Cricetulus griseus: one gene and its partner. The protein of the gene in region 1 purifies or fractionates together with the protein of each later gene. This does not show direct contact. Links are inferred from orthologs where the notes say so. Each region holds a gene or a part of one and is shown in the gene's direction. Other genes may lie near its edges.

What was found. Proteins that work in one complex are often made in the same cells at the same time.
Region 2: the proteins of Nuak2 (region 1) and Ppp1r12a purify together in Homo sapiens (affinity purification with mass spectrometry; 3 studies listed by BioGRID and IntAct, counting the BioPlex papers as one, with this or other methods). This does not show direct contact. The link is inferred for Cricetulus griseus from reciprocal best matches to the Homo sapiens genes NUAK2 and PPP1R12A.

Annotation. Positions count from the first base shown.
Region 1 is NC_048598.1:56,849,904-56,853,863, reverse strand, and holds the start of Nuak2 (NUAK family SNF1-like kinase 2), read left to right. Parts: upstream 1-1,154; 5' UTR 1,155-2,759; coding exon 2,760-3,002; intron 3,003-3,920; exon of another isoform or gene 3,921-3,960. UniProt on the Homo sapiens protein: Stress-activated kinase involved in tolerance to glucose starvation. Induces cell-cell detachment by increasing F-actin conversion to G-actin. Expression is induced by CD95 or TNF-alpha, via NF-kappa-B.
Region 2 is NW_023276806.1:147,071,358-147,075,505, reverse strand, and holds the start of Ppp1r12a (protein phosphatase 1 regulatory subunit 12A), read left to right. Parts: upstream 1-1,347; 5' UTR 1,348-1,575; coding exon 1,576-1,812; intron 1,813-4,148. UniProt on the Homo sapiens protein: Key regulator of protein phosphatase 1C (PPP1C). Mediates binding to myosin. As part of the PPP1C complex, involved in dephosphorylation of PLK1. Capable of inhibiting HIF1AN-dependent suppression of HIF1A activity.

The DNA of each region.
Region 1 (3,960 bases):
AAAATTTCCTGAGAGCGAGAAGCTAATTATTAGTCATCCCCCAAGATGTGCCTGACACCTGCCTTCCCCACCCTTCCCCATCCCTGCCCCCCAGCAGAGCCTTGCAGCCTCTCATCCGTGCTCCTGCCTACACCTTACACCTAGCACATGCCGTAGTATCTCGATCTGAGGTGCTCCCGCATCCCACCCAGTCCCCAACATGTGGCACATTCAGACTACGGTGTGCAGGAGGACAGGAGCGGACACTTCTTCCCAGTAAGTACACAGATGGCTTATTTTCCTCAAGGGTCTTTAAGCAGTTAGCTGATGATTGGGTGTGAGGGTGAGAAGTGCCTCTTCTTAGGGCTGGAGTGTGAAGCAGATAGGACCAAGAGTGGCTCCCTACTCAGTCTAGACATCCCAGCACATCCTATACAAACATCTAAACCCAAGATTGGAGTCACTGAGCCACCTCCCAAGCCTCCCTTTATAGAATAAAAGTTGAGTTCCAGTACTTGGTTGCTCTATTCAGTAGCTCTTAAATAGTCTTGTTGTTGTTTATTTTGTTTGTGGGGCTACTTTGCCTGCATATATGTCTGTGCAGCACAAGTGTGCCTGGGGTCCTTGGAGCCCAGAAGAGACCACCAGACCCCTTAGAACAGGAGTTGTAGCTGGTTGTGGGCCAGAGTACCGGTGTTGTGAATTAAACCCTGGTCCTTTGGAAGGCAAAGCCAGTGCTCTTAACTGCTGAGCCGTCTCTCCAGCCCCTTTCAGTAGTTCTAATGGCCAGGTCTGTTTGTCTGCCTCCACTCTACATCCATTTTGGTCAGTGTGAATCCACTGGCATCTTGATCTGCTCAGCAGTACACCAGGAGATGTTTAAAAAATAGTGATACGCTTCTAGATCAAGTCTTTTTTGTTGTTGTTGTTTTGGTTTGGTTTGGTTTTTTGTTTGTTTTTCGAGACAGGGTTTCTCTGTGTAGTCCTGGCTGTCCTGGAACTTGCTCTGTAGACCAGGCTGGTCTCGAACTCACAGATTTCTGCCTGCCTCGGCCTCACAAGTGTTGGGATTAAAGGTGTGCACCACCATCTGTTTTAGATTAAGTCTAAAAGGGAATCTTGGGTTCCTCTGAATAACTGTTTATCTTATGAGAAAATCTTGATCCAGCTAGCTAATTGCCATTAGCCCTTCAGTCTCGGCTTTGAAAGCCCTGTTTTTAGGAAGAGCCTCCAAAAACTAGCCTCCTTTCTTCTGGAGCCCCCTCCAGTTCTCATGTCAGTCTCCCAGCCTGAGCCTGCTCTTCAGAGTCCAAATCGGTCTGGATGGGCCTCCAGGACCCGGCACACATTATCAATGTAGATCGCAGGTCAGATGAAACTTCTCCTGGGCCTTTTTACTTTCACAGATCACTCAGAATGGGAAGGCATGGTGGCAGAAGATAGGACGCCAAAACAGCTATACAGTTTGTGGGCAAAACAGATTCAGAGAGGGTGGTTCCTGGTGGATCTTTTCTGGCTGTAGAGGGCTCCAGGGAAACATGGTGATACCGGTCATTTCCCCTGGAAAGACTCAAAAGGTGAGCAGAAGTAGAAAAATGAGCAGATACTAGATTAAACAACAACAAAACTTGATAATTGAGGATGTGGTTCTGTCTGATTCTCTGCAAGCCCTGAAAACACAGCTGGAGATGAGGTGATGCAGAGGCGGGAGGATGGGCAAGTCCCCTTGTCCTATGTTCTCATCTCTAAAGGTTATCATCAGAATCCCAGCTCTGTGGCTTTCTTGCCAGCTGTGTGGCCTTTGGTAGAAGTACACTCACTCTCTACAACAGAAAAGAGGGCTCTGGACTTAGCCTTCCAGGTCTCTCTAATGGAGCAAAATCTCATACCCAACCACCTGCTCTTCTGGCTAAAAATCACAGGAAGAAACTCTGGGACCAGGAAGCGAGCTCCTTATAGATTTAGGGACACAGGGTAGTAAGTCCCTGGAGTGTGATGCACTTTTTTCAAGAATGAAAAATCCATAAAGACGACCACTTCTTGAGGGAATCCACTCAACCCTATAAATCCTTTTGTTTTTCCCCAGAAGAGGTAAGGACTTGGCCTGTTGGATTCCTGAGTCCATTTAAAGTTGATGGAATCCAAGCAGCCGGGTGAACTTAGTTGCAGGGCAGCTAGCTCTCCACCCATGTTTAGCTGGAGTCAGCCCTCATCCCATTCCATCTCCTTATTCACTTTCTCCTTTATGTGCCTGAAAAGGTTATCAAATGGCTTTACAGATTTTTTTTTTCCTTGGGAGAAGCAAATTACTACGTGTGGAGAAAAACTTAGATCCTTCTAGTGCCCCTCAGATTGTCCCTTGACAACCCAGAAAACTGCACAATCGAACAGGTTGGCGCCATCTAGAGGCAAAAGCAATTCAGAGAGCCTTCAAAAGTAAGGACCAGCACTTCAGTAGTAATTCGGCTCAACCTCCTTTCTGGCATTCCGAGCCCTCGGGCCCAGGTGGGCGGGGCTCCATTCACACCTTTCCGCGCCTAGCCAAGGGGAGGAGGCGGGGCAGGAGCCAGTGAGCCAATGCCATAGGCCTTGGTCACGAGTCGCCGGCAAGCGGGCCAATGGGAGTAGGGGGCGTGGCCAGGGCCTTCCCCCTCCAAACGTTTTATAGCAATTTGGAACGCGAGGCTTTCCAGCGCGCTGGGGTACGGCTGTGACCTCTGAGCCCGAGGCTCTCCACGCGCTGCTGCTACCCGACCCCCTCCGCCTCGCCGTCCCGCACAATGGAGTCGGTGGCCTTCCCCCGGCGCGCGGGCCAGGCTCCATCAGCCTCCGCCCTGGCTACCGAGCGCGCCCGTGCGCTGGCGGACGGGCTCATCAAGTCGCCCAAACCCCTGATGAAGAAGCAGGCGGTGAAGCGGCACCATCACAAACACAACCTGCGACACCGCTACGAATTCTTGGAGACCCTGGGCAAGGGTACCTACGGGAAGGTGAAGAAGGCACGAGAGAGCTCGGGACGCCTGGTGAGTGCCCCTCGCAGCGCCCGGCTCCCGGGAGCTCACAGGGCGTCCCTCGCGGTGTCCTCGGTTGAGTTGCCTGGCGCGCGCATTTTAGATGTGTCTATCCCAGGTTTTCAGGGACAGTGCTCGTGGACCTGAGAACCTTAGCAGCACCAGATGCCTGTCGTTTGAGAAGATGGGGCTTAACTTGAATTTTCACTGGAACAAACTTCTACGGAGTAGAATGGAAGGAGGAAGTTGAAAGGACCAGATCTCAGTAGATGGATGAGGTGTGGAGAGATCGTTAACTGAATTGACACTTGGGTCCTTTCCAGCCGAGACTGAATCAAAGTTTCGTTATGATGGGCTTTGATTCTGGGAAATGTAAAACCAGGATCTGGTGCCGGGTCCACTGTATTTCGAAGCTTTTAGGGGAACTTGTCCAGTTGATTTCATGCGTGTGTAATCGCCATGGTAATCTGTAACTTTGAGCAAGTTCCTTAATCTTTGTATTCTGTTTCCCCTTCTGCAAAAACAGAACACAGCCTATCTCACAAGCTGCTTGAGAAGGAGTGTGGGTCCTGATCACAGGTCTTGTACTGAGAATGGATGCTTATATCTGGAAAGCGATCCCCCTCCCCCTCAGGATAGCAAATCTACCAAAACTTACACAACAGTGGTTTTCCCACTCCAGTTCAGTGGGCCTAGGCAGTACTAGCTGGGTACTTGTTTAAAATGTCCAGTCTCTCATTTCCCACCAAGCAGAGTGTGTTATAAAGGTCTATAATTCATACTGTAGCAAGCCTCAGAGCAGGTGGTTTAGGGATTATGTTTTGCCAGATCCAGTGAGTGCTGGTTGTAAGGGTGTGTGTGTATGTGTGACCATAGTTTGCCCTATTGACTATGGCAGTGGTCCCCTCCCCTAATTGTTTGCTTTTGCAGCCAGTAGCTGGTTTGAAATTCAAGAAGTCATTTCATTGGT
Region 2 (4,148 bases), on another chromosome or scaffold:
TTCAGTTCTATAAGAAGGTAATTCCCTAAGCAGATTTTACTCAATTATTCTAATGTAGTCTACGAAAAGCAATATGATGAGAGTAAGAAAATAAGTTTTCACTGTAGTATCACCAGAAGGGGGGTAGGGCACAGAGATGGGCAGCCCCTGTAAGCCTGACTCAGAATTGAAACTGTTTTCTTTTCTGGGAGGAAATCTCAGTCTCAAGACTGTAGACTCTAGAGGAGCCCAAAACATTCAATGGTAGGGTTTTCTGACTTATTATAGACTTGAAGTGTGTGGGTGGGTGGGAGACAGTGTTTAGAAAAGGCAAAGTTAAAACCCCTTTATGATAATGTCTTTTACAGCACGTGAATTTACAAAATGGGTTCAAAGAAATTATATTTATTGTATTTTTAGTGCCTGGGAAGTCACGACTTACTAGACAGGTATTCGATAAGTATTGGTCGAATTAACGGCCTTTATCCACATGCCTTTTGAATTCTAGACGCAGCCCGGGTCTTTACTCCATAGAAAGCAATGGAGCTGGAACCATAAATCCCTTAAAAGGTCAGGACCAGTTAACAAGGCTGAGCTAACCTCCTGGGCAGTGCCACACACACAGGCTGAAAGCCATGAAGGAAGAGGAATCAAAACAGGCTTAAAGAGACAGAAAAAACAAAACAACAATAACAAGCGAGCCTAAGAGGAAAGACATTTCTGCTGTGGGTGTTAGCAGGAAGCGACCGCAATTACCGTAGGTCATCATACCCCTGTCAGTAGGCGATCACCTCGGTCACAGCCACCAGGGCCGTGGGGAAGGCTCACACCCCACTTTTTTCAAACGCTCTCGATCAAGACTGCGCAGCCCGGGTTCACCCGAGTTCCTTGGAAAGAGCACCGCCAAGCACCTAAGGCTCGACCTGTGTCCACTCCATTCAAATCACGCAGCCAATAGGAAAACCCTCCGCCCTGGGCAGACGCGTCGCGCGGCAGGGCGAGCCCCGGAGGCAGGTCAAGCCCGGTACCGCCCGCTTCTCCAGCCGGCCAAGCGGCCGGCGTTTCTCCAGAGCTCTCGGTCCCGCAGGACAACCTTTCCTTCCCGGCTTCCTCCCTCCCTTTCCAGGATCGTCCCAGCCCCCGCAGTCACAGCCACACCCGCTTCCCTCCGGTGGCGCCCCCGCCGCCACACTCGGGCGGCCGCGCTCTTCCTGGGCCGGGCCGGAGGGCGGGGAACGGAGGGGAGGGGACAGGAGGAGGAGGGAGGCGGAGCGCGCATGCGCACTGGCCGCGGGGCGCCTCCCCGGCCCGGATCTCGCGAAGTTACGCTCAGCCGGGCCGCGGCTGACGGACGGGCGGGCGGGCGGTCGTGCCGGGGGCGGGAGGGCGTCTGTGGGAGGAAGAGAGGTCCAGCTCTGCCGGGCTCGCCCCAGTGCTCTGTGGGATACTGGAAGTCTCGAGCGTCTCCTCCCCGGCTCGCAGCTCGGCTCCGGGCCGCTCTCGCAGCCACGGTCGCACACCCCCCGCGTCCCCTCGCCGCCGCCGCCGCCCCCTTCCCCCGCTCGCGATAAGAAGAGCCGGCGGCAGGAGAGGGGGATGAAGATGGCGGACGCGAAGCAGAAGCGGAACGAGCAGCTGAAGCGCTGGATCGGCTCGGAGACGGACCTCGAGCCTCCCGTGGTGAAGCGCCAGAAGACCAAGGTGAAGTTCGACGATGGCGCCGTCTTCCTGGCCGCCTGTTCCAGCGGCGACACGGACGAGGTCCTCAAGCTGCTGCACCGCGGCGCCGACATCAATTACGCCAATGTGGACGGACTCACCGCCCTGCACCAGGTCTGTGCGCCCGCCGCTCGCACTCCCACCCCCACCCCCGGGCCCACGCCGTTCTCGCGCCCCCGGGCCTCTCCCGGTCGCCGGTCCTGAGGCCCGGGGGTGGTGGCGGGAGACTCCCTGCTGCGGGTGAGGGGGCGGCTCCGTCCGGGGAGGCTGGCCGCGGGGCTCCGGGGCCCCTTCAGACCCCGCTCGCTGCCTCTGCAGTTGGGAGCCGGCTGGTTTCCTGGGCGCGGGGCAAGATGGGACTGTGGTCTTGTGGGGGGGAACCCCAAGGGCCATTTGTGGACCTGTGTCTGGTGCTCTGGGTCAAGACGAGCAGGAGTGTGTAATGGATTGTGCCGAGGCCCGGTGTCAGTAATACACTGTTGGGTGTGGGGGGGGGGGAGGATGTAGAAAACCACTAACAGGGTGACTTGGGCAAATGGACCCCCTTGGCCTGGAAGTGAACATTGGTTTTGGTGTACTTTTTTAGGAGTTGATTACAAATGATGATGATAATAATAGTAATCAAGAACCATAGCCCCGGTGCCCTGAGCGAACGATTTCCTGTTTTCTCCTTTATTACTCTTGGTCACTGGGGAGGGGAAAACGGGGTGTAATTAGCTAATCTGCAGAGGCTGAAAGAGAGGGGATGGTCGTGTATCGGGTAAGGGAGTCTTCCCAAGTGGGCTTGCCCACTTCTCCACTGAAATCTATGGATTCCTGTACTCGAAGAGTTTGTCGCAGTGTCACAGATCCCTGAGTCCTGGCTCCTGGAGTGTGCAGCGGAGCTAGAAAGAGAAGAATAAACACTGCACTCTTCAAAGTCAGTTGCCAAACTTTGTTGTTGTATTTTTCTTTTGGGGTGGGGGCAGAAAAAAAGAAAGCTAATCACAATCTTTTCTCAAAATGGATGCTCTGTGCACGTTAAAGTTTTATAGTAGTCCGATTGGGATCTCTCAGTGTTAGCCAAATAAGGAGAAACTATTGGCAATCCAGAGATAATGTTGCTTTGCCTTTAACAAGCCAAAAGCAACAAAACCCTTAAGAGTCCTGCTTGAAAAGCAAGTTTTAAGTGCTGGTAATAGGTGCCATGGCATAAATTCTTTTATTTTCATATTAAGCAACTTGGAATTACTAGGAAATTGACAATGAAAAAGACTTATCTGGCTATCTCAAAATCGTCCTGGTTGTGTGAAAAATCAGTTTTATTTTAAATAATACTGTGGTTAAAAACTCGTTTGGGTGGTTGAAAGTTAGGGCTTCACACTTTGTATCTGAACTTTACATTTTGTGGCTATTAACTTTGTACCTTTTAGAAAGGCATGGTATATTTTCCTTATATTGCTTCCTGCTTTAGTAAGCGATGACCATTTTAAGTTTTATTTAATCAAACTCGAATATCACACTTGGCGTTTAGCCTTTGTTTACAGAGCTGACTGGAAGGGTTGAAATGACTGACAATTTGCAGGACAGATCTGGAATTCAGAGTGGCACCCAGTGAAAAGTACAGCGTGGTATCTCTAATGTAGTGCATCTGCCTAAAGCTTAAAGCATAGTATAAGTCAAGATCACAAAGCATGATTTTGAGAAGCAACTTTGGCATTAAAAAAATGTAATTATATAAAATGGGGGGAAAAACACCCTGAAGTTTCCTTTCAAATGTCTGTGCAAGTTTAGTGTGAAATTGTTTCTGAAACACAGTTACTGTATGTCAGAATACTTGGATAATGGTTCATATCAGTGTGTTTTCTAACACTGCTAAGTAGAAATGTAAAGTTACCCTATAGACAATTTACTGGATTGAAGGAAGAGGGCCAATTCTCTCTCTTTTTTTTTAATATTGTAAAAGCTGTTTAGGCAGTAGAAAACACATGGAATTGTCTTTGAAAGACTGTTTCTCAGTTTTTACTTCTTTAAAGAGGCTAGACCCACTGATATCTTCTTGATTAACTGAATTCAGTGGTTTGGTGCGTGTACTTAATAGTCTTTATTATTGAGTGTTTCATTTGGGTTAACAGGCACATAAGGAGAAGTTTCTGAGTTTATGCCTTTTGCATAACTGATTGGGTGACTAGTCAAATATTTTAGTACTCAAAAGATCATAAAATAACTGAAATATTTGCCCAGCCTAATTTCTCTTTAGTCTATTTGAATATTCACTCAACTTTTTAGTTTGGATAAAATTACCCAAGTTTTTGTTAACAGGAGACAAGTTCTGGGTACTTCACAACCCACAACTACATTCAACACCTGCATTTTCCTTACATTTATAAGTGGTTTGTAGTTAAAGGTTTATTTATTGGTTGAATGAGCTCTCATTAAAAGCAATGAAAGAAACTCAGCTATTGCTCTTT